5 linked regions of the Canis lupus familiaris genome follow. The protein of the gene in region 4 interacts with the protein of the main gene of each other region in a pairwise test. Links are inferred from orthologs where the notes say so. Each region holds a gene or a part of one and is shown on either strand. Other genes may lie near its edges.

Region 1 (4,275 bases), on a different chromosome or scaffold from region 4:
AATGAGCTCGTGCCCTTTTGTTGTACTACGTCTGGCACTGTCACAATCAGAAACTGCACGAAGGCTCGGACGGCCAACGGCGCTGTTGCGGGTTCACACACGGAGCTTTACTTCTGTTGAGCCCAGTTGGGACCACGGTAAACTCCCCGGGAGGTTTTAAGGACTGTCTGCAAAGGCCAGGAGGACTCTAGCTACTAGGGAGCCTCTGCAAGCAGAAGAAAACTAGCAGGAAGCTGTTTACTTAGGACGGGTGTGTGTGAAGCATGGGTCAGCATTAGAGCTCAGGATGCAGGGGGGATGCGGGGCCCTGGTGTCAGGATTAGAGCTCAGGACTCAGGACGGGGGTCTGCGGGGCGGTGGTGCTCGTCGTGTGCTGCTCTGTTGGGCCATGTCCGTCTTTCACGGTGGGGTCGCCCGTGGCCGTGATGAAGCCCGCAGTAAGGCCTGTATTCCTGGGACCCCTCAAACCCTCGGCTCCTGATCAATATAGTTTCTCTACTGATCTGTTAGAACCTATATCGATTCTCACAGACTCCTATGGATTGCACAGGAAATCACGCAGTTTGCACAGAGAGCAGCAGGTAACAGCACGAGGGTAAGACGCGGGCAAACCTCTGAACGATTCTAAGTAGGTCCCGGGAGTGCGGGCAGGTGTCGGGCAGGTGTTGAGCAGGCCTCGGGCAGGTGTTGGGAGTGTGGGCAGGTGTGGGGCAGGCGTCGGGCGGGTGTCGGGCAGGTGTGGGGCAGGTGTCGGGCAGATGTGCAACACGTGGCGGGCAGGTGTGGGGAAGGAGTCAGGCAGGTGTGGGGCAGGCCTCGGGCAGATGTCAGGAGGCCTTGGGTAGGTGTGGGGCAGGCCTCGGCAGGTGTCCGGAGGCCTCGGGCGGGTGTCGGGCAGGTGTTGGGAGCACGGGCAGGTGTCGGGCAGGTGCCGGGCAGGTGTGGGGCAGGCCTCAGGCAGGTGTGGGGCAGGCGTCGGGAGCGCTGGCAGCTGTGGGGCAGGCGGACGCGGTCCTCCTCCGCCTCGCAGCGCCGCTGGGCACGTTCCGACACAGGTGAAGCAAGGAGCAGTTCCGTGTCCTGCGCAGGTGCTCACGGGTGTCCCTGGCGCGGGCGGCACAGCACCGCGGTGGAGCCCGGGTCTCCCCAGGGCGGCACCTCGCGTCTCCGCGCTTCTGCACCAGCCACTGACCAGCGCGCGCCGTCCCGGGACAAGCCCTGCGCCGCCCGGGCACCGACCTCCGCGCCGCACCGGCCCTGCCGACGGGGCCTCGGTGCCGGGAAGGAGCAAGCTCGCGAGCGCAGCACCACGGCCTTCCCGCCGCGACCCCTCGACCGCGCAGCGGGACCCGCGCCTCAGCGCCGGAGACGCGCATGTGTGGGGCACGTGCGCCTGCGTGTGGGCCACAGCCCCACGGGCCCAGCATGCTGAGCGGCCGGAAGCCCGTGCCGGCGCCGGTGGAGGGGCGGGACTGCGCATGCGCGGCTGGCGGAGCAGAGGCGGGACGGCGAGGGCTCGGCGCCTAGGGCTGTGGACACGACGGCGTGTTCCCGCGCTTTTCCTGGGCCTCAGGTCAGACGCGCGGCTGGAATCGGCGGTGTCGGGGTGTTGCCGTAGGGGCCACGGGGAGGCGGAAGCCCGGGCTGGTCGGCGGGCGCGACGCCCCCGCCCTTCGCCTTCCCTCGCCTGCACGCGGCGCCGCTGGACGGGCCGCGCCTCCCTCCCGGCGCCCCTCCCGACCCCCTTCCCGGTCCTCCTCCCGGTCCGGCCGGGCCCGACCCTCCCGGCTGCCTGTGCCCCTTACCCCGCGGGGGGAACCGGGCCTGACACTCAGGCCGCGGGGCCGCCCAGCCGTGGAGACAACTCAGCCAGTCCCTGCGGGGTCAGGTGTCGGAGTGCCCTCGACCCTGTGACCTCGGCATCTTTTCTTTTTTCTCTTCTCTTTTTCTTTCTTTCATCAAAGTAACGTTCTTGACGGAATCCGTTGGTTAAGAGGTGTGTTTGGTGGGAGCATTTTCCTTGGCGTATAGTCGGGGCGTCGCAATTTTCTCATATAATGCATGATTTTGGTACATCCAGGATGTCGCTGTCCAGCCTGGGCCGGTAAAGCCAGGGAGTGGGGACGTTACATTGAAAAGTAACTTAAGGGTATTTATTTGTGTAAGAGTTTTAGTTCTAACAACTTTTTTTTTCCCCCCGGAAAGTATAATATTCAATAGTATTTATATTAATAGGTGAGTTATTTGGTGGTAAAAATGAATCAGCTTTTATATAAATGGTTATTTGCTTGGACTGGTTATTTTCCACTAAATGCTATCAGATCACTACTCTTTTTTAGGTAAGGCAACACAGGTAAACAATCTGAGGATATGAAAAACCTAAAAGTGCAACTTAAAAAACACTTTGCACTAAAGAATGGCTGAAAATTGGGGCGCCTGGGTGGCTCAGTGGCTGAGCATCTGCCTCCAGCCCAGGGCATGACCCCCGGGGTCCTGGGATCGAGTACCCCATCGGGCTCCCTGCGTGGAGCCTGCTTCTCTCCCTCTGCCTGTCTCTCTGTCTCTGTCTCTGTCTCTCCCTCCCTCTCTCTCCGTCATGAATTAATAAATAAAACCTTTTTAAAAAAAGAAAAAAGAATGGCTGAAATTGGTACCTGGACTTCTATCTGCCAAGTGTGAGAAGTGATAGTAAAATATTCTAGCAAACTACAGATGGGTGATAAATTTGGCTTTTTTGTTTAGGTGTTGAGGAATGGCAAAAGACACTAATTATTATTTGTATTTTGAAAATGTTCCTAAAGTTTATTTAACATATACATATTATTTTTGGCTTTAATAAGATTTGGACTACTTGTGTCTTTAATTTGTTTCTAAGGGACACCTGAGTGGCTCAGTGGTTTAGCGCCTGCCTTCGGCCCAGGTCATGACCCCGGGGTCCTGGGATCAAGTCCCCCGTCGGGCTCCCTGTAGGGAACTTGCTTCTCTCTGCCTCTCTATCTCTCTCTCTCTGTGTCTCTCATGAATAAATAAATAAATAAAATCTTAAAAAAAATTTGTCTCTAAAAATTTTTTTCATGGGCTTTCTAGAGGTTTACACAAAGGAGCACAGTTAATATGACTGAGTAAAATGTATATGATATATTGATTATAATAAATACAAACAACAAAGTACAATATTTTATAATAAAATGAAAACATGCTCTATTTCATTTTCACTGACATTTGATTCTTTTGACCTTCATATTTACCCCTTGTTAGGTTTCCTTTCAGCTTCGGGAGACTTTCTGCTATGTCTCTGTGTGAAGACATGCTGCTGTGTAACTACCGCAGGTGTCGACTCAAACTCTCTGGCTATGCCTGGGTCACTGCCTGCTCCCACATCTTCTGCGATCAGCACGGCAGTGGAGAGTTCAGTCGTTCCCCAGCTATCTGCCCTGCCTGCAACAGTACCCTTTCTGGAAAGCTGGACATTGTCCGCACGGAACTCAGTCCCTCAGAGGAGTACAAAGCCATGGTGCTGGCTGGACTCCGACCGGAGATCGTGTTGGACATCAGCTCCCGAGCACTGGCCTTCTGGACGTACCAGGTTAGTGCTCAGGACAGTTTCCAGACAGCAGGATTTGAGGCGTATGTGGAAGCTTCTAATGTTTGTTTTTTTATTCACTGTGTTTGTATTCATTTTTCATGAATATATAGAAAACTTTTTTAAAAATAATTTTGTTTTTTGAAATCTGAAAGAAAATAAAAAAATTGACCATAATGCCATTGGTCAAAGATCATTGTTGGTATTTTTGTTTGTGTATTACTGGACTTTTTTTGTGCATAAGTATGTATTACATATGTGAATATATATTTTATCCAAAAATATGGGTAATATCACTTAAAGCTGACGGTATATTATGCTTATTATGAATATTTTATTAAATATTTTTAAATTAGTTGTCCTATCATAATTTAAATAGTTGTATTGCATCATAATTTATTTTCAAGCTATAAAAGTGATGAGCTTTCTTATCATCAAATTCACGTATTTAATTCTTGGCTAAGAATAAATTCCTGAAAGTGAATGAGTACATTTCAAAGTTGTAAAAATTATAGTATTTTGTGACACCAGGTGGCTCAGTCAGTTACGCATCCTATTCTTGACCGTAGCTGAGGTCATAATCTCAGGATCTCGAGATCAAACCCTGATTTGGGCTCCTCACTGAGTTGTGGAGTCTGCTTAAGATTCTCCCTCTGCCCCTCCCCTGTGTGCACTTCTCTCTCTCTCAAAAA
Region 2 (4,269 bases), on a different chromosome or scaffold from region 4:
GCTTCGGAGAACTTGGGGGTCTGTGTGGCCACTTCAGAACTTTCCCTTGCCCACGGTGCGCCCTAAGAGAAGGACCAGCCCCCAAATCCAAGCAGCGGCCTGCAGGTCTGGAGATTCCGCGGCCAAGGAGGGAGGCAGGGATGCCCCTTGTACGGCCTTCAGGACGGCCCCCTGGAGGTCCCTGGGGCTCCCCTGGTCCAAACATCCCCCCACGGTCCGGGGCTCCCTCCAGGCCAAGGCAGAAACCAGGGATTGCGCACAGTCCGGCCCCCGCCCCACACGCGGCCAGGGGCTGGCGTCTCCGCACCCCTGAAGCAGGCCGCGAGCCGGGGCCTCCGCATCACGAGGCTCTTGTAGGCACCTGTTGCCCCACTTCCAGGGCCCTGAACCCAGAATCGCTGCCCCGGCCAGAGAGATGGAGCGCCCTACACCTGAGCCCCCAGTCGCAGCGCCGAGCCTCTCTGATCGCCGCCCGGGCGTTCAGATGCCGGGCGACCCCGCTCGGCTCCTCGAGCCCCTGGATCCCCCCTCCCAGCCAGCACCTGCCCCGGGGCCTGGGTGCAGACCCCGACTGTGCCCCGGGATCCGCCCTCCCAGCGCTGCCCCTGCCCCGGGGCCCCGGGTGCAGACCCCGACTGTGCCCCTGGATCCGCCCTTCCAGCCCCGCACCTGTCCCGGGGCAGACCCCGACTGTGCCCCTGGATCCGCCCTCCCAGCCAGCACCTGCCCCGGGGCCCCGGGTGCAGACCCCGACGGTGACCCCTGGATCCGCCCTCCCAGCGCTGCCCCTGCCCCGGGGCAGACCCCGACTGTGCCCCTGGATCCGCCCTTCCAGCCCCGCACCTGCCCCGGGGCAGACCCCGACTCTGCCCCTGGATCCGCCCTCCCAGCCAGCACCTGCCCCGGGGCCCCGGGTGCAGACCCCGACGGTGACCCCTGGATCCGCCCTTCCAGCCCCGCACCTGCCCCGGGGCAGACCCCGACTCTGCCCCTGGATCCGCCCTCCCAGCCCCGCACCTGCCCCGGGTGCAGCCCCCGACTGTGCCCCTGGATCCGCCCTCCCAGCGCTGCCCCTCCCCGGGGCAGCCCCCGACTGTGCTGGGGCGGCCGTGCGCGCGGGGCCCCGAAGCGTGCACACTAGTGGGGGACACGGTCTGGGAGCACCGCGCTCCCGCGGCGGAAGCAGCGAGGGCGGGCCTGGGAGGCTCCAGAGCGCCCGCGCGCCTCGCTGGCGGCGCAGGGCCGGGGTGGGGGCAGGGCCCCGGCGCGAGCCGCGCTGCAGACGGCGGCCCCGGAAGGCGCGAGACCTTCGCGAGAGTTCCGGGCTGCGCCTGCGCACTGAGGCCGGCGCGGGGACGCGCGGGGCGGCGTCGGGGGTGGGGCGCTCGGGGCGAGCCCGCGCGCGGCCGGGAGAGGGGCGGGGCCGCGGCCAGGGCGCAGGCGCAGGCGCGCGGCCGCGGCGGCGGTTGGGGAGGGTTCTTCCGGAAGGTTCGGGAGGCTTCTGGAAAAGGCTCCGCGCGCCGGGCGGGCCCGCGTCTATATAAGGGAAGCGCGGGGGCGGCGCGCCAGTTGCTTCTGCGTCCTGGTGCTGCGTCGTCGCGGAGCCCGTGCGGTCCTGTAGCCGAGGTGAGGGGGCGGTCCGGGGGGTCCCCGGAGGGCGCCGGGGGTCGGGCCCCGCGGGGTCGGGGGCCGCGGCGCGGGGTGGGCCTCCTGGAGCCTCCGGGCCCCGCGGGGACGGCGCGGCGCGGCCGAGCGCTCGGCGGGGGAGGCCTCGGGCCTACTGCGGCCCCGACCCCGACCCCGACCCCCGCGGACGGGACCCCGGGCGGCCGGGCCGCAGCTCCGGGGGCGCCGGGGGCGGGGGGGGGGCGCTGGGCGGGGGGTCCCCGCGGGCCTGCGGCGCCCGGCGGCGGCGTGCGCACGGCCCTCGTTGTCGCAGCTGGAAATGAGGTCATCCTTTGTCGGCGGCCCCCGGCTCGGGCCCGGCGGGGGCGGGGGCACGGGGACGGGGGCGCCTAACCGGCCCCGCGGCCCTTGTAGATGCCGGAGGAAACCCAGACCCAGGATCAGCCGATGGAGGAGGAGGAGGTGGAGACGTTCGCCTTCCAGGCGGAGATCGCCCAGTTGATGTCCCTCATCATCAACACGTTCTACTCGAACAAGGAGATCTTCCTCCGGGAGCTGATTTCCAACTCGTCCGACGTAAGTGGGGCTGCCTGGGAGCGGGGGTCGCGGCCTGCGGCGGAGCCCTCCTCTCCTCCCTTCCTCCCTTCCTCCCCCTCCCTCCTCCCCCCCTCCCCCTCCGGGAGCGCCCGACTCAACCGCTCGCCGCTTGCTTAATAGGCTTTGGACAAAATCAGATACGAGAGCTTGACCGATCCCAGTAAGCTAGATTCTGGGAAGGAGCTGCACATTAACCTCATTCCGAACAAGCAAGATCGAACCCTGACCATCGTGGACACCGGCATTGGCATGACGAAGGCCGACCTGATCAATAACCTGGGTACCATCGCCAAGTCGGGGACCAAGGCGTTCATGGAGGCCTTGCAGGCTGGCGCAGATATTTCCATGATTGGCCAGTTTGGCGTCGGGTTTTATTCTGCCTACCTGGTGGCTGAGAAAGTGACGGTGATCACCAAGCATAACGACGACGAGCAGTATGCCTGGGAGTCTTCGGCTGGAGGGTCGTTCACGGTTAGGACGGATACAGGTGCGCTTCAGAACGGCTTCCCGGGTCACTCGGTGGTGGGGGCGGGGAGGAGGGGGGCTGGAGATGCTGTGGGATTGGCAAAAACGTGTTTGCTCCGTCCTGTCCTGGAGTGAGCTGGGTGGTGGCACGTAGCACGTGACTGTAGCAAGGAGCCTCTGGTTTCTGCAGTCGGGTCAGGAGGTGAACTGCTCTGGTATCTACATCGGTATAACTAAACCCCACGTGGTAAAGTTGCTCTGAAATTGTTGCATGTGGTGTGTGGAGAGCGGGATTGTGGAGTTTGTAGTTTTTTTTTTTTTTTTAATCTCAGATACGTTGAATTTGCTCACTCAGATTGAAATTGAGTCCGTTTACCCCTTTACAGGTGAACCTATGGGTCGTGGAACAAAGGTTATCCTGCATCTGAAGGAAGACCAGACTGAGTATCTGGAGGAGAGGAGGATAAAGGAGATTGTGAAGAAACATTCTCAGTTCATTGGCTACCCCATTACTCTCTTTGTGAGTGTCCACATGGGGTGTAGTAGAGTCTGAAACTAGTGAATTGAAATTATTACTTATTAGACCTGTGGATGAAAGATTCAAACTTGGCATTGACTTGATTAGTGAGAAATATTCTGTCAATGTACACACGGTGGTTTAGAGACATTAAATGTTGGCTGCTAAATACTTGTTACTTCGGTATTTTGGGCTTTGGTGTAAGTGCCCACGCTGCATTCAGAGCGTGTTCTTCAGCTCCAGGATGCAGAGGTGATGCGATTTTTGCGTTTTCTTTTGAAGGTGGAGAAGGAACGTGATAAAGAAGTCAGTGACGATGAGGCTGAAGAAAAGGAGGAGAAAGAGGAAGAAAAAGAAAAGGAAGAGAAAGAGTCTGATGACAAACCTGAAATAGAAGATGTTGGTTCGGATGAGGAGGAGGAGGAAAAGAAGGATGGAGACAAGAAGAAAAAGAAGAAGATCAAGGAGAAGTACATTGACCAGGAAGAGCTGAACAAAACCAAGCCTATTTGGACCAGGAACCCTGACGACATCACCAACGAAGAATATGGGGAATTTTACAAGAGCTTGACCAATGACTGGGAAGATCACTTGGCAGTGAAGGTGAGCACCCAGTGCTTTAGACCTAGTCTACCCTCCAGGTTGCCTGAGGTGGTTGGGGTGCGGGTGCTGCCAAGGGCTTGGTCATTCCAGTCCCTGAAAGTGCTGGAAGTTCTGGGACAGAGCCTGTGGGGGGTCAGGCAAGGTAGCCGTCAAGGGGCGGTTGGTTGCAGTGTCCCTTGATGATGACCTCCCGTGTATATTTTTACAGCATTTTTCAGTTGAAGGACAGCTGGAGTTCAGAGCCCTTCTCTTTGTGCCAAGACGTGCTCCCTTTGACCTATTCGAGAACAGAAAGAAAAAGAACAATATTAAGCTGTACGTTCGCAGAGTTTTCATTATGGATAACTGCGAAGAGCTGATCCCTGAGTATCTGAGTAAGTGTGGCTAGATGGGAGGCTCTGTCCCGCCCCGTGGTGAATCTTTTCTGGACTTGAGTTTCAAGCATTTGGGGCACGGGATCG
Region 3 (3,972 bases), about 1.2 Mb from region 4:
GCTGACTTAAGTCACAAGGCTTGTGAAATAAGCAAGTGAACGACCAGAAGGCTCCAGGCTAGAGGCCCACCATAGGCCTGACTGAGTTGGAGGATCTGAAGCCCTTCCCCCACCAGGAAGAGCACCCACAAATGCACAGAAGAGAGAGGTCGCAAAGAACAGCCAGAATGCAAAATTTTATTATTAACTGGTTTAAACAACAACAAAAAAGACGAGTAGATACACGTAGAAACATGGACAGCATCTCCCCCAGCAGCAGGCAGGGTGGGGAAGGCAGGCAGGAGGGTAGGCCTAAGGTATTCCCCTCTGCCCAGCAGAAGTAGAATCCCAGGGAAAGGGTCAGGTTCCCTCCATTCAGCTGCAAGCCCGGAGACTACCTCATTCAGGGGAGCCCAGGACAGCAGCTGAGGGCAGAGGCTGAGCAGCCAGGGGCCAGGCCTGGGGGAATGTGTAGAGAGAAGTCCTAGGCTGACATCACCAGGGGGGTGTCATGGGCTGCGGGTTCTGCAGATATGACATGACCACAGCAGAGATGGACAGCCTGAAAAGGGAAAGAGGTGTCAGTCCAGGCAGGCTTGGGTCCCCCTCTCCAACTACTCAGGAGTCCTCCGTCTCTAGGCCTAGACTCACATGAAGCTACTCATCATTTGTTTAGTGTCCTCAGAGCTCCGGGAGTTGGCAAAGCTGATGAAGGAGCAGTAGACGGCCACCCACGCGCACCACTTCAGCTGGGGAAAGGAAGGTGGATGGGGGTATTTGGTCAGTGACAGGCACACTAATGAGCCTCCAGAGGGGTTCCAACCCCAGGCACAGGTTCCAACCCACTGATTCCGCCGGATACAGCCTGGCCCTCATTCCCAAGAATCCCGTAGCCTACTCCAGGTACCCAGTTTCTCGTCCTACTCTCTTGGCCTGCGTCTCTGACCCCAGCACATAACCTCAGGCCTAAGACTGGCCTGTGACATAACTTGTGATGCTAAGAACCCCATCCTTTCTCCAGGAGGCCCCTCCAAATTGCTTTAAAACCTGGCCCCGCCTTCAAACTGACCTCTCGGGTACCCACCCCTACCTTCCTTCCCTCCCGCGCTCCGGCTTTCTCCGCCCAGCAGCACCTAAGCCCCGCCCCCGGCCAGGCCCAAGCCCCGCCCCCTAGCGCGGGCCCCGCCCGGTTCCGAATCCGCTGCCCCCACGGGCTTCGCTGTCAGGCGAAGCGATGCCGGAGGAAACCCGGTGCCGCCCACCTTGAGCATGAGGCCGCACATGCTGAAGATCATGCCGAGCAGGTTCATGTAGTCCGGCGTCGGGTCGTCCAAGGCCGGGTTACACTCGCTCGGCGGGGGCTTGTACCTGCGGCAGGCTCAAGGGTCAGAGGCACTCGAGTCCCGCCCCCGAAATGGACAAGCGCTTCCCTGGGCCTCGCCCCACAGCCCGAGCCCTGTTCCCATGACGTCGGGGTCCTCACCTGAGCACTTTGTTCGGCCTTCGCGGGTCCGACATGTTGTTAGTGGACATGGCAGGTCGGAGGTCGTGCCTCTTCCGCTGCGGGAGTTGCAGCTTCCGGCGCAGAAACGGAGGGTGGCTTTTGGAGTGACACCCTCGGTCTTCGAGCTTCCGTTCCTGGCGGCGGGGGCCAGGACTCCTCCAAGCCGGGGGACAGAATTAGAAGAGACCAAAAATGTTCCTTGAAAACAAGAAGTGGGGAAAGAAACCTGGGAGCTGGAATCAGACTTCGGTATTCCCAATATTATCCCGAAAAAGCCAAACCTTTGAACCGGAAGTGAGAAATAGGAAGTAGACTACGGAAGACAATAAGGTTACATCCAAGCGTGGGTGCCGAGGGTTCGGAAGCTCCGGGGCAAACCGATGTAAGGCGGCGACGAAGGGGTCCCGAAAACGATGGCTTTCCCTGAGCCAAAACCACGGGGCCCGGAGCTGCCGCAAAAACGGGTGAAGACCCTGGACTGCGGGCAGGGGGCAGTGCGAGCTGTACGATTTAATGGTGAGCTCGCTCTTCATTCCGGGTTCTCCTGCCTTCTGAGGTCCGCAGCCCTCTGATCCCTTCCTGCTGTTCCCCAGTGGATGGCAATTACTGTCTGACGTGCGGCAGCGACAAGACCCTGAAGCTGTGGAATCCGTTGCGAGGGACGCTGCTGAGGACGTACAGTGGCCACGGCTACGAGGTGCTGGACGCGGCCGGGTGAGCAGTTGGGGCGGTGGGTGGGCGGCCAGGCCGCGTGATCCGGTGCAGAGGTCGGGATCTGAGGTCAGCACTGACCTTCCTTCCTCTGTCCTCTAGCTCGTTTGACAACAGTAGTCTCTGCTCCGGCGGCGGGGACAAGGCGGTGGTGCTGTGGGATGTGGCATCGGGGCAGGTCGTTCGCAAATTCCGGGGCCACGCGGGGGTGAGTACAAACAAGAAGAGCCCTCATTAGAGCCTTGATGTCAGAGAAGGCCCGCATTATCGTGTAGGTGATGACAAAGACTCCTTCCACCCCCACCTATTACAGAGTGAGGATCCTTTCCCAGTGGCCCAGCATGCAATTTCCCCAAAACCTTTCACCTCCCCACCCCCCCTCTTTTTTTTTTTTTTTTTATTTGAGAGAGAACATGAGCAAGGGGGAACAACAGAGGTAAAGGGAGAAGCAGGCTCCCCACTGAGCAGGGAGCCCAACAGGGGACTCGATCCCAGAACCCTGAGAACCCAGAACCTGAGCCAGGACCCTAGAAAGTGAGCCGAAGGCAGACACTTAACCAACTGAGCCACCCAGGCACCCCTCCTTTGCCCTTGCTTTATTTATTTATTTATTTTTTAAGTTTTGGCATTTTTATATCCAACGCCTCCCCCACCCCCCCATTCCCTTGCTTTAACTTGCATCAGGAACCCTGCCTTAATCTCAGTTTTCCAAAGTCCAGCTTCCTCTGAGTGGCAATTCCTGTTTCTCAGAAGGTGAACACGGTCCAGTTTAATGAAGAGGCTACGGTCATCCTGTCTGGTGAGTCTGGGGCCTAGGCAGGGTACTGCCCCTGCTGCCCAAACCTGACTTCTACCTCATGCTGGTCCTCACAGGCTCTATTGATTCCAGCATACGATGCTGGGACTGCCGATCTCGGAGGCCTGAGCCGGTGCAGACACTGGACGAAGCCAGGGATGGCATATCCAGTGTGAAAGTGTCAGACCATGAGGTCCTGTCAGGGTGAGTGGAGCCAGGACCTCACCCCTCTGCTGGTGCCCCCGGGGATCACTGCTGCCTCTCTACTCAGATTAAAAGCAACTCTTCGGGATCCCTGGGTGGCGCAGCGGTTTGGCGCCTGCCTTTGGCCCAGGGCGCGATCCTGGAGACCCAGGATCGAATCCCACATCGGGCTCCCGGTGCATGGAGCCTGCTTCTCCCTCTGCCTGTGTCTCTGCCCCTCTCTCTTTCTCTCTCTGTGACTATCATAAATAAATAAAAATTAAAAAAAAAAATAAAAAAAAAAAAATAAAAGCAACTCTTCTCACCTTAGCTTACAAGGCCCTGCACAGTCTGGTCTCTGCCGATCTTTTAGCTTTTATTCAATCCAGGTCTCATTTCTCTTAATATACTAATCATGCTCTCATCTCAGGACCTTTGCAATTGCTCTTCCTCTACCTGGACTCCCTTTCTACTGAAAGTGTTTTTGAGCATCTCTTGCATACCACTTTTTTAGTCAGTGAACACTCAGCAGTGGATAAAATAGGAAAAAAATCTCTGCCCACATAGGGTTAATATTCTGGTTGCAAGAGGCAAATAATTAAAATTCCCAAAAAAGGCTGCCCTTTTGCTGCCACAATGCAAAGGAGTGCCATTCCCACTAGTTTGGGCTGCCCAGTCTATTGCCTCATCTGTTCCCACACATCTCCTCCTGGACCACACGTGTTTGTCTCCTTATCAAGTCCCAGTTTAGAGGTCACCTCCTTGGGGTGACCTTCGTAGATGACTCTCAGTCAGCAAG
Region 4 (3,500 bases):
CATCTGGGGTGACTGTGGGAAACAGCTGAGGAAAGTGAGAACTTCATGGGTCTATGTCTGGGATCCCCGACTTCTCTGGGGTCAGGGCTGGGGACAGGGTGCAGCTCAACCTTAGGGTACGCTATTGGGGGCCTAATATTTCAGACAGTCTGCAAATATTTATTGAACACCCATGACATGCTTCCTATCTCAAATGTGACCCTTAGACATGTTTCCTGTGGTCCATGCTGTGTTGTCCTTACCCTGTACTTGGTTTCATTTTCGGTTTTAAGTGGAGGAAGTTGTGAGCAGAAAATAACAGATGCCTTGTAAATCACAATGATGAGCCCAAATTCTTGGGTAGCAGCTACTAGAGGTTGTGCCCCTGGGATGATGATAATAATAAGTGTTTGTTGAACATTTGCTGTGGGCCACCCCCTGTTCTAAGTGATTTCCATTCTTTAAATCATTGGATTTTCCCCCACTATCCTTTGAGGAAGTACCACCCTTAGGCCTGGCCCAACAGGGCTGTACCCCAGGCCCCACGCTTTAGGGAGTTCTGTGCTTTAGTGTGCCTTCCTGGAAATTCTAAAAGTCCTCTTCCAGTGGCTGGGATCAGCTAGGGTAGATACTGCCCTGGTTTCCATCTCTTTTCTTAAGGGGTGGATGTTCTCCTTCCCTCTCCCCCACATTGGGGTCGACCAGATGCCCTGAGGAGCGCTGGCGTTTGTCCTAAGGCCCATGGCTTCCTGGAAGGTGAGGGTGGTCTGTGAGCAGGGCTTTCCCACAGGCCTGCAGTGTTTCTTTAAAGGGACCGTGTGGGCTTGAGGTACCAGGACATTTGTGACCTACCAATATTGGTAATTGAGTTATTTATATAGACTAGTGCCTGACAAGAAATATTTGCCCAGGACCCTGTACACCCGAGGAGTAGCCCCGGCTCTGAGGTAGCTACTAATACAATTGCTCTTACAGAGGAGGAAAAACAAGGCATGGAGTGTTAGAGATATTTGCCCAAGATCACCTAGTTAGAAAGTAGTGGGCCAAGTTGCAGCTCAGCCTTCTTTCTTTAGAGCCTACACTTTTTCTAGAATATTCTGTCCCCATTACTTTTTCCTTTTTGGTCCATCTACCCTTTTGAAAAAGTAATTTTGTTGAAAATAGAGGTAACAATCTTGTAGTTCAAGCACACAATGATACAAAAAGGTACATAGTAGTGCCTTCACCCATCTACCTGAGTACTTAGGTACCATATGCCTGTAGCATTAACTCATTTAATCTTCTTCACAACCTATGAAGTTCACACTATTCGAATCCTCGTTTTACAAAATAGGAAACTGAGATTGTCAGAGGCAGGTTGAGTGACTTGGCCGTGATCATACCGCCGTTGAGGGGAGTCAGCCTGTCACAGTAATGCCCTCTGCAGGTGGCCAAGCAAGAGGAGTTCTTCAACTTGTCCCATTGCCAGCTGGTGACTCTCATCAGCCGAGACGATCTGAATGTGCGCTGCGAGTCCGAGGTCTTCCACGCCTGTATCAACTGGGTCAAGTATGATTGTGAGCAGCGGCGCTTCTATGTCCAGGCATTGCTCCGGGCTGTGCGATGTCACTCGCTCACACCCCACTTCCTGCAGATGCAGCTGCAGAAGTGTGAGATCTTGCAGTCGGACTCCCGCTGCAAGGACTACCTGGTCAAGATCTTCCAGGAGCTGACCTTGCATAAGCCCACGCAGGTGATGCCCTGTCGGGCGCCCAAAGTGGGCCGGCTCATCTACACCGCTGGTGGCTACTTCCGCCAGTCACTCAGCTACCTAGAGGCCTACAACCCCAGTGATGGCACTTGGCTCCGATTGGCAGACCTGCAGGTGCCTCGTAGTGGCCTGGCGGGCTGCGTAGTGGGTGGGCTGCTGTATGCTGTGGGCGGCCGGAACAACTCGCCAGACGGCAACACCGACTCCAGCGCCCTGGACTGCTATAACCCCATGACCAACCAGTGGTCGCCCTGTGCCTCCATGAGTGTACCACGCAATCGGATTGGGGTTGGGGTCATTGATGGGCACATCTATGCTGTCGGTGGCTCCCACGGCTGCATCCACCACAACAGTGTGGAGAGGTGAGTGGCAGGGCCTGGAGGGATGGGCTCGGAGGTTCCCATTGCTGACAGGCCCCAAGCCATTGGAATTTGGGGATTCCCCCTGTTGTTGAGTGCTTGTCTCTGTCCTGGCTTTAGGGAGGGGAAGCCTCAGGTGAAGCTGAATTCATGGGGGATTTATGGTCAGTGACCTTGGATGATGTGTCTGGGCCTGGGAATTGCTTACAGGGCTGTCCCAAACCCATACAACTTCTGCAGATTTGGAAAGAGTTCTATCAGTTGGAAGTTGTTATAAAATGCTAATTTTATTAAGACATGACACCTCACTGCCATCTGCCCCAAAATTGCTGTAATAAACTGATGTATGAGGTCTTCTGTGTGGAAGGTGCCCCCTTGGATGTGGGACTCTTGTGCAGTGTACAACATGCAGAACTGCATGATGACCCTGTGTTTAGAGCCTAAGCAATTTTGGCTTTTGACTTTTGCCAGACAGTCCTCTCTGCCTTCTCCTCTTTCAGAAGCTTGATCCAGGATACAGTTCTCAGCTGGAGAACTTGTTAAACTCCCTAGCCCACTGCTGGAGATCTGGTACTGGTGGGTTTGGAGCGAGGCTGGGGAATGGGAATTATAACCAAACAGCACACTTGTACGAAAACCATCCTGGGTGGCAGCCTAGTTGTTAGAATTAAGATTCTTGTGTCTTTTTTTTTTTTTTTTTTTTTTAAGAATTATTTATTTATTTATTCATGAGAGACACACAGAGAGAGAGAGGCAGAGACACAGGCAGAGGGAGAGGGAGAAGCAGGCTCCAGGCAGGGAGCCTGACGTGGACTCGATCCCGGGTCTCCAGGATCACACCCCGGGCTTCAGGCGGTGCTACACCGCTGCGCCACCGGGCTGCCCAGATTCTTGTGTCCTAGAAGGCTGGGTCAAACCTCCAGCTCCTTGGTGACCCTGGTCTTGCCATTTCATCCCTCCGTGCTTCTATCTTGTTATCTAAAGATGATGGGGGAAGTGGGAGATGATAGTAAGGACTACCTGCCCAATGGTCAAAGTGGGTTTTGCTGAGCTAACATACAACACAGCACAGGGCCTGGCAGTGCTATATGGTGGAGCCACCACCAGCGTCCAACAGGTGCGTGTGTAACCTTGAGCAGATGATGGCTGTGAACCTGTTTCCTCAGAGAAAAGCTCTGAGGAGTAAAGAGTTCAGGTGCATAAAGAATTAGCAGCATATTGGGTCATAGTAAGTGTTCCACACAGGTCAGCTGTGATTGCCATTGTTACCGTTACTATGCCCTTGCAGGTATGAGCCAGAACGGGATGAGTGGCACTTGGTGGCTCCCATGCTGACTCGAAGGATCGGGGTGGGAGTGGCTGTCCTCAACCGTTTGCTCTATGCCGTCGGGGGCTTTGATGGAACAAACCGC
Region 5 (4,278 bases), on a different chromosome or scaffold from region 4:
TTGCAGGTAGTACAAAAATAGGCCACTTGCTGGATATGGGCGGTCAGTCTTGCTGACCCCTTGACAAAAATCAGCTTTTTCTCAATTTTGCTCTGAAAAGGAAGAGATTGGGTAGTCACTTAAAGATCTGGGGTGTGTGGAAATTTTTTTCTTTTAAAACTGAAGACAGATGAAACCAATGAAAATATCTCAAAACAAAGAAGTCAGAAATACCAGAGAAGAACTAGGGTAAAGTCCTTAGGAAGGCTAGAGTGATGGGGATTCAAAGAGATCGAACAATTTGCCTCTAAGAAGAGCAATTCCTCCATTCTAACTAAAAGGGACAAATTAAATCGGAAGGTTTAATTCACATACAACTCACATACAACTGAGGTGAAATGTCATCAGTGTAGTCTTAAAGGAGACAACCTAAAATCAGTAGCTTAGGCAGGGCTTGCTTCTTCATCAAATTAAGGTGACATAGATTCTTAGTTACTTCTATGTTTCAGGCTAAGTAATCTGAGTATAGCCCTGGGTGATTTAGCCCTGAAGATGATAAAAATATGATTAATAGAATTTAAAAAATAAAGCCCCTTGAAACAGAAAATATATATATGACTCAGGAATTAAAAAAAAATTACTGTAATTTTTTTGGGAACTAGTTTTGGAAGGTCAAATGAGGAGCCAGGGAGAAACATCCTATAACACAGAAAAATTAGAAGTGAGAATCCTAAGTAGAGAAAAAGATGGGGGGAAAAAAAGAATAGATGGAGAACAAGTATTCATTCAACAAGTATTCAGTAATTTCTTGAGCTAAGAAAAAACAGTGAGTGTTCAGATAGAAATGGCTAACTTACAGGCAGGATTTTAACAAAGACAATTGAAGACAGTAAGACATTAAAAAACTTTATTGGGTACTCTATTAGTAGTATTTTTTTTTTTTTTTAAGTTTAGTTCCCAGGCTGGATTCAATTTCATTTTATCTTAAAATAATGATGGTTTTAAACTCTAGGCAGCTATAGAAAATATATCATGTTAAAAATATATAGTGGATTTCTCTCCAATAATAAACATCATCATAGTTATGTAAAATTCCAACTTGTTCCACCTGGCTACACGAACTGCAAAAATCACTTCAAAGGGAGTTGATAGAGATTGTTTTGTGAAGCCAGATCAGATTTCTAACATCAAAGTATTTAGCCCACTCAAAATGTGGTAGGGAAGAGTGGACTTTCTTTCAACTTATTATTTGCTTCCTTCCGATTGAGAATCACTGTATTTGAAATTGCAGTGTTTTACACCTCTTTGTATAGCGCTGAAAAATGAACACCAAGATGCCAGAAAGTACGGGTCCAAGAAAGCCTGCAAAACTCAAAATGGTTTTCAACAATTAAATACCTTTCAGTTGTTCCACTACATTATTTAGGTATTTCATGAGCTCAGGATCAGTTGTTACAAGCAAGGTGAGTCCGTATTTCTGCACTCTGGTAAAGGTTTCAGATGGATATATGCCACGCTGATATAAAATGCTGTTGATGCCAAATGCTGAAAACAAAAGGAATGTTAAAGTCATTTTCACTTTGCAACTCTGGAAAATAAAACCTATTTAGATGTGGCTGCGGTTTCATTCCTGGTATCAAACTGAAAAAGCCTAAACGTGCATTTGTGGGTGTCTTGCTGAAAGCAGAGTAAGTGAAAAGTGCCACTGAAAATCCTTAAAAATGTTGCTTCTAAGTAAAAAGAACACGATACCTGCGTTTATGCGGAACTAAAAATGCCAAACTGCATTAACCTAGTGTCAAAGTAGAACTACAAGCTCACGGTAATGCAAGCCCCAATTCAGGTTATGTGATCACAGGGTGTCGAAATAGGCTTTTGCGTCTGGATTAGCAACTGATTAACCGGTCCAATGTTCCAAAGCAAGCCTCTCCCTCACTTTTCCCTCCTCTTCTCCTACCAGATTCCATCAGAGGGTACAAACATGGCCTGGTCCAGGACAGAGTTTCCTAAATCTAGTCCATCGCCGTCAGTACCGGGGTCAAAGCTTGGTGGAAGGGCTATTCAAGATATACTGGGGCCCCACCCCGCTCGGGGTGGGCGTAGGCGTGGGGCTGGGGCCGGGCTGGGAAGCGTGTCGGATCCGCCGTTTAAAGCAAGGCTGCTGGGATCCCTGGTGGCGCAGCGGTTTAGCGCCTGCCTTTGGCCCAGGGCGCGATCCTGGAGACCCGGGATCGAATCCCACGTCGGGCTCCCGGTCCACATCGGGCTCCCGGTGCATGGAGCCTGCTTCTCCTTCTGCCTGTGTTTCTGCCTCTCTCTCTCTCTCTCTATCATAAATTAATTAATTAATTAATTAAAAAAATTTAAAAAAAAATAAAGCAAGGCTGCTGGTGGAGGGGCCGCAGCGCCAGGCGGGCCTCGGCAGCACCTGGGCTTCCTGCTCCACCAGGAGCGAGGCGCCCGGGGGTGGCGCCTGCATCCGCCTCCTCCTAGATTAGATTCTCCAGCCCGGCGGGCGCTGGAGCAAAGAGAGCCGACCCCGACCCCCGCCTCCGTGGCCGGGCCGGGCCTCCAGGGCGGCCTGGCCTCAGCTCTCCCCGCCCTCTGGCCTGCGCAAGGGGGACTTACAGAAGAACTCGGCCACGATTTCGGCGCTCCCGCGCAGGGTGATGCCTTGCTCCCGGGAGAGCTGCAGCGCCATGGCCAGGCCTAGGGACGAGGGAGCGCGCTGCTGCCCGGCGGACGGCGACGCCACAGCCTCCAACGGAAGTTCCCCGCCAGTCGTTTCAAAAGTAACGACGCAGCACGCCAGGGGCCCTCCGCGCAGGCGCGACGAGCCTCCCGGCAGGCCCAGCGCCAGTCTCCTCGCTCGCGGGAGGGGCGCCTCGCGCAGGCGCAGTGGGTAGGCGTGGTCAGGCACTTCCGGGTTGTCGGGCACGGAAGGGTCCCTACCGAGCACCTGTAATTGTGGTCGCCGGGTCGCAGCTGAGGCGAGACGACCGCAAAACCTGGCTTTGACGCCCGCTCCCGAGGCCTGCGGAGTGAGCAGCCCAGGATCCCGGTTCGTCAGTTTCAAAGCTATTTTCAGAGTGATGTGAACGCGCCAGTTGCATCTTAACGTGGCCCAGGGACCCCGCCCACTCCCTAGTGGGCGATTGAAACTTGCTTAGATACTCTGGGAGTCAGTCAAGAAACCGCGTGCGTGGCGGTCCAGCCACAGCTTGAGAAGGCCTGGTGACTGTGTGCGGGCGCAGCTGTTAAGGAACTGGGGGGCAGACCCGGTGGCTCGGCGGTTTGGCGCCGCCTTCTGCCAGGGCGTGATCCTGGAGACCCGGGATCAAGTCCCACGTCGGGCTCCCTGCGTGGAGCCTGCTTCTCCCTCTGCCTGTGTCTCTGCCTCTCTCTCTCTCTCTCTCTCTCCTCTCTGTGTATTCTCATGAATAAATTAATAAAATCTTACACACACACAAAAAAAAGAAATTGGGGGGGGCGGCCCTGGTGGCCCAGCAGTTGAGCGCTGCCTTCAGCCCGGGTGTGACCCTGGAGACCAGGGATGGAGTCCCTCCAGCCCTAATCCCTAAAGCCTAAACCCTAACCCTAACTCTAAATCCTGGACCTGGTAAATCTGGTCCCCATCTGGCCTCACCCAGTCCTGGTGACTTTGGTCCCCACCTGGGCCCCACCTGGACCTGACTGCTGTGGACTCCTTCGGGCCTCACCTGGAACTGGTGACTCTGATCCTATCTAGGCCTCACCCAGACCTGGTGACTCTGGTCCTCACCTGGGCATCATTGGGACCCGGTTACTCTGTTCCACACCTGAGCCTCACCTGGACATGATGACTCTGGAACCCCTCTGGGCCTCACCCTGACCTGGTGACTCTGGTCCTCAACTGGGCCTCACCTGGACCTAGTGAATATGCTCCCCACCAGGGCCTCATCTGGACCTGGTGACTCTGGTCCCTACCTGGGCATCATCGGGACATGGTTACTCTATTCCTCACTGGGACTCACCTGGACCTCGTAACTCTGGTCCTCACTTTGACCTCTTCTGTACCTGGTGACTCTGGCCCCACCTGGGCCTCAACGGAACTGGTGACTCTGATCTTCACCATGGCCTCACCTGGACCTGGTGAGTCTGGCTCCCACCAGGACCTCACCTGGACCTTGTGTCCCTTGTTTCCTTCTAGCCTCATCTGTACCTGGTGACTCCGGTCCCCATCTGGGCCTCACCTGGCCCTGGTGACACTGGTCCTCTGCTTGGCCTTACCTGGACCTGGTGACTGTGTTCCCCACCTGT

The links.
Region 1: the proteins of KEAP1 (region 4) and CCNB1IP1 interact in binary tests that used the Homo sapiens proteins (3 or more experiments, as listed by UniProt). The two-hybrid records come from large-scale screens. The link is inferred for Canis lupus familiaris from reciprocal best matches to the Homo sapiens genes KEAP1 and CCNB1IP1.
Region 2: the proteins of KEAP1 (region 4) and HSP90AA1 interact in a two-hybrid assay, tested with the Homo sapiens proteins (2 studies listed by BioGRID). The link is inferred for Canis lupus familiaris from reciprocal best matches to the Homo sapiens genes KEAP1 and HSP90AA1.
Region 3: the proteins of KEAP1 (region 4) and WDR83 interact in binary tests that used the Homo sapiens proteins (3 or more experiments, as listed by UniProt). The two-hybrid records come from large-scale screens. The link is inferred for Canis lupus familiaris from reciprocal best matches to the Homo sapiens genes KEAP1 and WDR83.
Region 5: the proteins of KEAP1 (region 4) and MAD2L1 interact in binary tests that used the Homo sapiens proteins (3 or more experiments, as listed by UniProt). The two-hybrid records come from large-scale screens. The link is inferred for Canis lupus familiaris from reciprocal best matches to the Homo sapiens genes KEAP1 and MAD2L1.

Annotation. Positions count from the first base shown.
Region 1 is NC_049236.1:17,803,861-17,808,135, reverse strand, and holds the start of CCNB1IP1 (E3 ubiquitin-protein ligase CCNB1IP1), read left to right. Parts: upstream 1-1,475; 5' UTR 1,476-1,478; coding exon 1,479-1,573; intron 1,574-1,864; exon of another isoform or gene 1,865-1,996; intron 1,997-3,258; coding exon 3,259-3,586; intron 3,587-4,275. UniProt on the Homo sapiens protein: Ubiquitin E3 ligase that acts as a limiting factor for crossing-over during meiosis: required during zygonema to limit the colocalization of RNF212 with MutS-gamma-associated recombination sites and thereby establish early differentiation of crossover and non-crossover sites.
Region 2 is NC_049229.1:70,501,558-70,505,826, reverse strand, and holds the start of HSP90AA1 (heat shock protein HSP 90-alpha), read left to right. Parts: upstream 1-1,469; 5' UTR 1,470-1,626; intron 1,627-2,040; coding exon 2,041-2,202; intron 2,203-2,343; coding exon 2,344-2,710; intron 2,711-3,074; coding exon 3,075-3,208; intron 3,209-3,487; coding exon 3,488-3,808; intron 3,809-4,016; coding exon 4,017-4,182; intron 4,183-4,269. UniProt on the Homo sapiens protein: Molecular chaperone that promotes the maturation, structural maintenance and proper regulation of specific target proteins involved for instance in cell cycle control and signal transduction.
Region 3 is NC_049241.1:49,840,053-49,844,024, reverse strand, and holds the start of WDR83 (WD repeat domain-containing protein 83), read left to right. Parts: upstream 1-1,172; 5' UTR 1,173-1,241; coding exon of another isoform or gene 1,242-1,347; 5' UTR 1,348-1,462; coding exon of another isoform or gene 1,463-1,512; 5' UTR 1,513-1,896; coding exon 1,897-1,999; intron 2,000-2,076; coding exon 2,077-2,197; intron 2,198-2,296; coding exon 2,297-2,402; intron 2,403-2,944; coding exon 2,945-2,993; intron 2,994-3,067; coding exon 3,068-3,194; intron 3,195-3,972. Other genes in the region: WDR83OS (protein Asterix), read right to left, coding at 475-541, 631-728, 1,242-1,347, 1,463-1,512. UniProt on the Homo sapiens protein: Molecular scaffold protein for various multimeric protein complexes. Acts as a module in the assembly of a multicomponent scaffold for the ERK pathway, linking ERK responses to specific agonists.
Region 4 is NC_049241.1:51,052,891-51,056,390, forward strand, and holds part of KEAP1 (kelch-like ECH-associated protein 1), read left to right. Parts: intron 1-1,405; coding exon 1,406-2,091; intron 2,092-3,376; coding exon 3,377-3,500. UniProt on the Homo sapiens protein: Substrate-specific adapter of a BCR (BTB-CUL3-RBX1) E3 ubiquitin ligase complex that regulates the response to oxidative stress by targeting NFE2L2/NRF2 for ubiquitination.
Region 5 is NC_049239.1:56,410,676-56,414,953, reverse strand, and holds the start of MAD2L1 (mitotic spindle assembly checkpoint protein MAD2A), read right to left. Parts: upstream 2,801-4,278; 5' UTR 2,681-2,800; coding exon 2,608-2,680; intron 1,525-2,607; coding exon 1,378-1,524; intron 1-1,377. UniProt on the Homo sapiens protein: Component of the spindle-assembly checkpoint that prevents the onset of anaphase until all chromosomes are properly aligned at the metaphase plate.